Macaca fascicularis: one gene and its partner. The protein of the gene in region 1 interacts with the protein of each later gene in a biochemical or structural test. Links are inferred from orthologs where the notes say so. Each region holds a gene or a part of one and is shown on either strand. Other genes may lie near its edges.

Region 1 (4,355 bases):
GCACACAGTGGACACCAACCGAGTATACCCCCCTCACGTGGCTCACATTTCCTTTGTAACTCTCCCAGCAAAGCTCTACTGCACGCTGCATCTTACCCGTTTACATTTCTCTTTTCCCCCCTTGACTGAGTTTCATAATCACTGGGACTGTTTCTTTTTACTTTTGCATCCCTTGGGCATAAAAGTGCCTAGGAAGCGGGGCGCGGTGGCTCAAGCCTGTAATCCCAGCACTTTGGGAGGCCGAAGTGGACAGATCATGAGGTCAGGAGATCAAGACCATACTGGCCAACATGGTGAAACCCGGTCTTTACTAAAAATACAAAAATTAGCCGGGAGTGGCGGCGCACGCCTGTAGTCCCAGCTACTCGGGCGGCTGAGGCAGGAGAATTGCTTGAACCCGGGAGGTGGAGGCTGCATTGAGCCGAAATCACGCCACTGCACTCCAGTCTGGGCGACAGAGCGAGACTCTGTCTCAAAAAAAAAAAAAAAAAAAAAGTAAGTGCCTAGGATAAGAAGACCGGAGTGTAAATCAATCTCAGTTGAATGAGGAGGGCTTAATAGTCCCGAGTTCTGCTTTTTTTTTTTTTTTTTTTTTTTTTTTTTTTTGAGACGGAGTCTCCCACTGTCGCCAGGATGGAGTGCAGTGGCGCGATCTCCGCTCACTGCAGCCTCCGACTCCCTGGTTCAAGCGATTCTCCTGCCTCTGCCTCCCAAGTAGCTGGGACTACAGGCATGCGCCGCCACGCCCAGCTAATTTCCGTTTTTTTTTTTGTTTTCAGTAGTGACGGGATTTCACCACGTTGGCCAGGATGGTCTCGATCTCCTGACCTCGTCCGCCTCGGCCTCCCAAAGTACTGGGATTACAGGCATGAGCCACCGCGCCCGGCAGAGTTCTGCTTTTTAAATTATTCCAGGCACTTTTTACGGTGTTTTTCACTCTCAATGCCAATTCACGCTGTGGTGACGATGTACCATCCAATCCTTGATACGAAAGATGAGAGAATCTGACCAAGACTAGAAGGAGAGGTTGCAATTTTTCATCAGATGAAAAATCCAGAGGATGTTTTCATTGTTGAGCTAAATGAACTTGCGAGTCTACGCTGCCCTCTAGGGCGGCCTACAGTGCCTTTAGGTGGGTAGCAGGAGCAACGCAAAACTTAATAGATGTTTCCCTGCGGAGAAATTCCCCGATCCAACTTACTTTAATGGAAAAAGGGAAACCCGACGGGTGGGTCAGCACCGGAAATGGGGGCGCGGGTTCGGGTAGCGGGGACGCGCACGCACCTTGCACGTCTCCGCCCCTCCGGCGGTTGCCAGGCAACCAGCTCCGGAAGTTGCGGGAGGTGCGTCCGCAGCGGGCGCCGCTAGCCAGCGGAAGATGGCGGAGGGCGGCGGCCCTGACCCCAGCGAGAAAGAAAGGAGGTCTTCCGGACCGCGGCCTCCGAGCGCGCGGGATTTGCAGGTGAGGCGAGCAGCTCGTGGAGGGAGCGCTGCGGTGGATGCGGGCTGGTGATGGCGCGGGCGGGTGCGAGTCGGAGGCCGCCTCTGGCCTCGGCGGAGCCTTTCCCTGACCCAGTCTGGGGATGGAATCGTGACTCCGGCGCCCGGTCTCCCGAGGTCGGCGCTTAGCACTGTGATGGTAGCGGACACAAGTGCCCGAGCCTCCAGCGCTGGTGCTTCGTCTCCCTTCCACCCCAAGTACGATGTAAAAATAGCTATTCGTTTAGAATGACATTTTGCGAGGTCAGTTGGTTGGTTCACGGGTTGATGCTTTCTTCTTGAGACTTACTCCAGAGGAAAGGTTGCTGTGGCCGCAGGGAAGTGGGCAATCACCTGAACAGTAATGATACGTAATTTGTTCTTTTTTGTCTTGGATGCTATTTCTGACTTGCTTACTTAAATATAAAAATGGTTCCATTTTATCAGGTGGCTTTTTCTTTTAAAGGGGTTAAGGAAAGCGATGCACGCTATGCCCATACAGCCTAGTTGTCTAAGCTGTGGTCTTTAAAACATTGCACACAAGAAACAGGGAAATAAAACTTCGTAATGTCGTGTAGGACACTAGTATTAGTTAGCTAAATACTAGTGCACCAAATCCCGTGTTATCAGATACTAACGCCGCTTTTCTCATTTTCGGCTTTTTTGTGTCTCATTATAAGATTATTGATAAAAATTTAACAAGTAAATATCAGTAAGGAGATACTAAGGAGAATTTTGGTAGAACAGTTTTACTGTATTACTTTACAACCACACTTCATTCTAATGTGAACAAACCACCATCCATTGTAACATACTGCTGAGCTTTGGGCATGTGGAAATAAGGACATCAAATCCTTAGTCGGTGCTGAGCTCTGTTGATGGGTATGTAAGTGTAAAAGACATGTCTACCTTTTGGAAACCTACAGTTTTCTTCGGAGAAATAGGATATGAATACATTTAGCATAACATTTTAAGATGGAGTATGACTGGGTGCCAAAATAAGCAGTGCATAAAGCGAAGAATTTGAAGACTGCAGAGATCAGTGTAAGTTTAGAAGGTGAACTCAATGTAGAATAGCTCCAGCTCACATAGTTGGTTCAGTAGTAGTAAACAGTATCAAGAGTTAGGAGGCTATTGTGTACCTCATCTTTCCTATTATAAACCCACATCACTGAGAGGCAGCATAGAGTTAGTAGTCCCACCAATTTTGGTTTGCCTCTTAGTCCTGCTACTTAGTAGTTTTGTGAACTTAGGAGAAAAGTCTTAACCTGTCTGATCCTCATATGTCTTCATTTGTAAACTGAGGAGGGTCGGGGTGCTGGTGGTGGTGTAAGGATTAAATAGTGTTGTAAAGGGCCTATGCAAAATTCCTACATTATCCTGGTCAAGTTGTTGCTGGGCAAATATTTGGTTCCTTTTTCCTCAAAGGAGAAAGATGCTGTAACTTTCCCTGGCTAGTCACTTCTAATATCATTAAAGTTAATGCAGTATGTAACTTAATGTCCTTTCTCTAATTTAAATCCATTTCTTCTTTTTATATGAAAAGTGAGAATAGCTTGGTTAATGACCACCTGATTCTTGGCAAATTATTTGCAGACTTAATCCAGTGGATCAAAGTATGATTAATGTTTGGAGATACTCTGGTAGATGTTGCTAATTGTGAGAATGCCTTCATTTCCACCCTAAGTTATGATGGGGATTTTTTTTTTTTTCATCTCCTGTCTAGTTCTGGTAGGTTAGGACAGTAGGAAGATAACTGATTTCTTTATGAATGTGATTTGGTGTATCAAGTACAGTATCTAAGTATTGATAATCTTTCCTTTAGAACTTAATATGAATGTGAAGAACTTGCAAAGAAACTTGAAAACAGCCAAAGGGATGACATATCAAGAAATAAAGTATGTATCAAAAGTTTAAAAGAAATAATGTTCTTCCCAAATGGTATCTTGGATATTGATTATTTATAGATTATCTTGTTATGTTTAATCTAGACATGCTTATCTTAAGAGTTACCCAGTTGGTGCAGCTTTCAGTAGATATTTCTTACTTCTCTAACAGCTTGCTGTAAGAGTCTTTCAGAGTGAGTAAAGGGGCAACATATTACTAATTGGAACAAGCAGAATTACCCCTAAGTAAGTGTATCTTAGCCCCATGCAGTGTAGGGTTTCTCAGTATCTAAATCAGGAGGGAGTGTTCCAGGTACCACCAGAGAAAAGCTACATAGTTGCTTCCCAAAAGGCTTCCCAGCCTTGGGAGCCCCCAAGTTACAAACTGCAGACTTGGAACTCTTTTTTGCATATCAGAGTAGATTTTCATAGCTCCCTTCATCCACCTCAAATAAGGAAACGGTCAGTGGGAAAGTTAGGGGTGGGATTGTTAGTGGCAAAACTAAGCCCAAAACCTCATCAGTGTTCAATAGTATTTCTGAATTGCTTTCTCTTCTGGTGTCCCTCAGCCCATCCACACACAAGTTCATTAAGGTATTTAGTTGTATACTCTGTCCCAGTTTTGCTCCACATATTATGTGTTTCTGTATAGGTTGGACAGGTAGGAAGTGAGAACAGGGATAACTTCAGTATTACCAGGGTTAGGATTTGGATTTGTTAGGATGGACTCAATAGTGGGCACTATAAAGGCGAAGAATTAAAATGCCTGATAACTGTTGCCACAAGGACCCTAATCCTATTGAATATCATTATTCTGTATTGTTGATTCTCTAGTGTGCATCTATGACCTGGGAAGGCTTGTCAAAGATTGCTGGGCCCTACCCCAGAGTGTGATTCACTGGTTCTAGAGTAGGGTTTAAGTATATGTATTTCCTACAAGGTCCCAGGTGTCTGTATAATAATCATTTATTACGGCTTCTAGAATTGGTT
Region 2 (3,811 bases), on another chromosome or scaffold:
CCCTGAATATACTAGTCAGGGCTGTCTGCACCTACCCGGATGCGGTTAGATCCCAGCTCTAGCATCTGTAGTTGATGTAAGTTGCTTAAGTTCTCAATTTTACTGATTTTATTGTTGACCAAGAAGAGTTTTTTCAGTCGTGTCAACTTGTCAACCCCTTCGATGTTTCTCAGCAGATTAAAAGAAATATCTAGAATCCTGAGAACAACCAAAACAGGTTTTTAAAAAAATTACATGAGCATAGGTTGCAGAGAACTCACAATTCAACCACCCTAAAGGTAGCACCCCATTAGGGGACTGCAGTCACTGTGGGACGGGGCAGGGTGGGGTGGGGTGGGGCAGGGGGTGCGGTCTGTGCCCCTGCTGCCGCCTGGCTCACACTGATGCTGTCATGAGGGATTTGGAGGCTGCCCAGGAGCCCGCAGCAAGCCAGAGGCAGCCTACAGGCTCCTGATGCCCTGGATCCCAGGATGGTATTTGAGGCAGAAACTGTTACATTCACACCTGTGCCCATGACAGGACCTTGCACCAGGCTCTGCACACAGAAGGGGCCTGAGAAGTACCGAATTAGAAACAAAACAAGCAAAAATGAATGAGCAACAGAGGGCAGAAATCCAGGTAAAGTTATAACTAGGACCTGGCTCCTTCTTTTTTAATTTTAATTTTTGTAGACAGGGTCTTGTTATGTTGCCCAGGCTATCTCAAACTTCTGGGCTAGTGATCCTCCTAATTTGATCTCCCAAAGCGCTGACATTACAGGTATGCACCACTGCACCTGGCGTAGAACCTGACTCCTTAAATTATAAATGTCACTTTTTTTTTTTTTTAATTTAAAAAAAGAGTATTCAAAAGGCAAGAGGAAATTCTGGATTAACTTTCCCCTCGACCAATCTCAGTATCATCCCTGAATGGAGGCTTTTCCAGAAGTCCCCACTGCAGCCTTCCCATCAAAGGTTTACTTTGCAAGTCAGGATTGTCCAGGAAGCCGAAGACATGCGTGAAGCCAACGTGGCCTCCTGGAGCCCTGAACATGGCAGGCAGAGCCTTGGGATTCAGACGCAGGGCAGGACCCTGTGGCAGAGGCAGCCTCTCAAGGGCCAAGAGCCAGCAGGAGGGGGGCTCTGGAGAGACTGGACACCCCCACCCAGTGGCCTCCCCACCATGCTGTTCTCCTGTGGGTCTCATGACTCACTCCAGCTCTGTTAGCGCCTCCAGATTCTCAATCTTCTTGATCTGGTTGTCGTAAAGATCCAGCTCTCGAAGACTCTGTAGCTCCTCCAGATTCTCAATGCATTTAATTAAATTTTGGCGGAGGCAGAGAGTCTGGGGGATGGGAAAAGGACAATTGACACCGGCACGGGGGAGGCCACGAGAAGGCCTCAGCTGGTACTGGAGGACACAGGACAGGCCCTTCTGGTGGAAGGACGTGTCTTCATTCTCCTGCTGTTTCCTAGAAAGGTGCTGACCTTTGAGAGGTAGGTGGGCAAGGGCACTAAGCTAGAATTCCTCGACACACCTGAGGATGGGCAGGAACCCAAAAGGAAGCAGGAGGCAGGCCCCCCACCAAGCAGGCCTAGTTGAGGAGGGAGGCGTTGGCCTGGGGTATGGGTGTTTGCCACTTCCTGGCAGAACATAAGAACCTATGGTGGGCTCAATTTTGAGAAACAAATTCAAATGAGATGCACGGAGGACCATAAAATTCACTGAGTGCCTAATTGAACACAGGCACAGAACTGAGGCAGGCCAGAGTCACAGGTCACTGGCCGCCTGAGCTCAGGAGAGCCAGCCCCAGGGCTGTGCCTCAAGTCCCTCGACTGCTGTCTCACACTTGCTGTGCTCCCAGTAAAGGCCTGCTACAAGGTGGAGGCAGCCACGCCTCCCACAGGCTGAGACAAAGACCACAACTTGGGACTGATGGCTCGATTCTGGACTTATCCACATCCTATGGGTGATATGGGTCATAGTCCCCTCATAAGAGTCCCTCTCACCTTCACTTTCTTCAGTACCTCAAATCCTTCAATCTTCCCAATGCGACAGTGATTCAAATCAACATCCTGAAACAAAGCGGAAATGTATACTCGGCTATAGCAAAGTGGCTGGAGACCTGTGTCCTAGAAGAGGAGCCATCAGAGGAGGCCTGGGAGTGGGCAGCAGTGGGGGAGGCAGTGCCAGGTGGGTCTGCAGCAGACAGGTGTCGGTGACAAGGTGTGCTGCGGGGGCTCTTTGGTTTAGTGATGACTTAGTTTTATGTAAAACTGGCCCTTAAAATGATTGGTACATGACATCTTTTTCTCATTCCCTAGATCCTGTATGCACAAAACATAAGCTCAGGCTCTTAGGATATGCACCCCATCCCATCACCATCAGAGACACGCTGGGGGCTCAGGAGGCCCAGCGGCCAGGCCAGTCATACACAGCCTGCGGCTGTTGGGACCCTCATGTATAATGTAATCATCAGACCCAGAGAATGTATGAGTCAAAGGCATCTCATCTGCCACACAATCCTCAAGGGTCAAATAGACATGGGGATAACAATCACTGGTAAGAAAAACAACATGAACACAGGACTCTGATCCAACCAAGGGAGGCTCAGGCAACCTCTTTAGGGAAGTAACTTACTAATCTCATACAAGATAACCTGACAGGTGGTCCATCACCATGCTCAAGGCTGGGCTGAGCAGGCAGCATTACCTCTGCATCTCTGTCCAGGTTGATGGTTTCCATGTCCACAGGCAGCTCATGTTCTTCTGAAAAAAATTAGAAAAAGAGGTTTGTTCAGAACCCCATTAACAGGAGGCATTGGTGAAGAGCTGCTTCTGGCCGAGGTCTGGGGCTGTTTGGTGCCCAGATCCAGCTCAAACCCTGAGGAGGAACCAATGAGAAAGTTTGCTGAGGACCTGGAGAATGTGGCAAGGGTGAACCCTGCTCCAACAATAGTGATGTTTTAAGCATTCTGAATTCCCTGAATTCAGATATTGGCAAAGGTCTCCAAACATTCATCTGTGCCTTTGAACTTTCAGAGAAGGGAAATGTGTTTTGAAGCTGTTAGTGGGAAGGAGGGGAGGAAGTAGCTGAGTGCAGGTGAGCAGGGCAGCACTACTGCCTTTCCGTGACTCCCAGAGCCGCAGAACTGGCAGCAGCCTGCCTCCTACGTAGCTTTTCTCTGTTTGTTTGTGGCAATAAACCAGGCCATTAGAATCTAGATCGTGCTGGGCACATCAGATGCTCTAGGATGGGCCTTTTATCACTTTGGAAGGTGGCCCAGCATCTACAAACACTTCCCTCTGCAAAGAGCAAAACAAAACAAAACATAGTTCAACAGATAGGATCAAAGAGGCTCACTGAATAATTTAAACACACTTCTCAATGGGGAGACTGATGAACTCACTCCAGCAGAGAAGCCCATTGGATTTCACGAGGACTCTCCACACCGGAGCCAGCCTCCTCTGTGCGGAGGCAGAGAGAGCTGCTCTCCCTGCTGAGGCGACAGACACCCTGTTAAGCACTTCCTCATTTCATTTCATTGGAACCTACTTCAGCATATGTGCTGAAAAGGACTAAGACACACACAGATGCACACACACACGCATGCACAAAGACACAAAGGCACATATGCACACTACACAGACACACGCATGCACATCAGTGGTATACAGACTCATGCAGACACACAAACACGCACACTCACCCCTTAAAACACTTAAAAAAATTAACAGTAATTCCTCAGTATCACCAAAGATTGTCAGTGTTCGCATTTCCTCAACTGTCTTAACATTTCTTCCCTTAGTTCACTTGCATTATGATCCAAATA

The links.
Region 2: the proteins of UBXN2B (region 1) and PPP1R7 form a complex in vitro, tested with the Homo sapiens proteins (2 studies listed by BioGRID). The link is inferred for Macaca fascicularis from reciprocal best matches to the Homo sapiens genes UBXN2B and PPP1R7.

The regions. Positions count from the first base shown.
Region 1 is NC_088382.1:68,396,176-68,400,530, forward strand, and holds the start of UBXN2B (UBX domain-containing protein 2B), read left to right. Parts: upstream 1-1,345; 5' UTR 1,346-1,378; coding exon 1,379-1,462; intron 1,463-4,355. UniProt on the Homo sapiens protein: Adapter protein required for Golgi and endoplasmic reticulum biogenesis. Involved in Golgi and endoplasmic reticulum maintenance during interphase and in their reassembly at the end of mitosis.
Region 2 is NC_088386.1:137,086,568-137,090,378, reverse strand, and holds part of PPP1R7 (protein phosphatase 1 regulatory subunit 7), read right to left. Parts: intron 2,748-3,811; coding exon 2,692-2,747; intron 2,055-2,691; coding exon 1,989-2,054; intron 1,324-1,988; coding exon 1,193-1,323; intron 199-1,192; coding exon 36-198; intron 1-35. UniProt on the Homo sapiens protein: Regulatory subunit of protein phosphatase 1.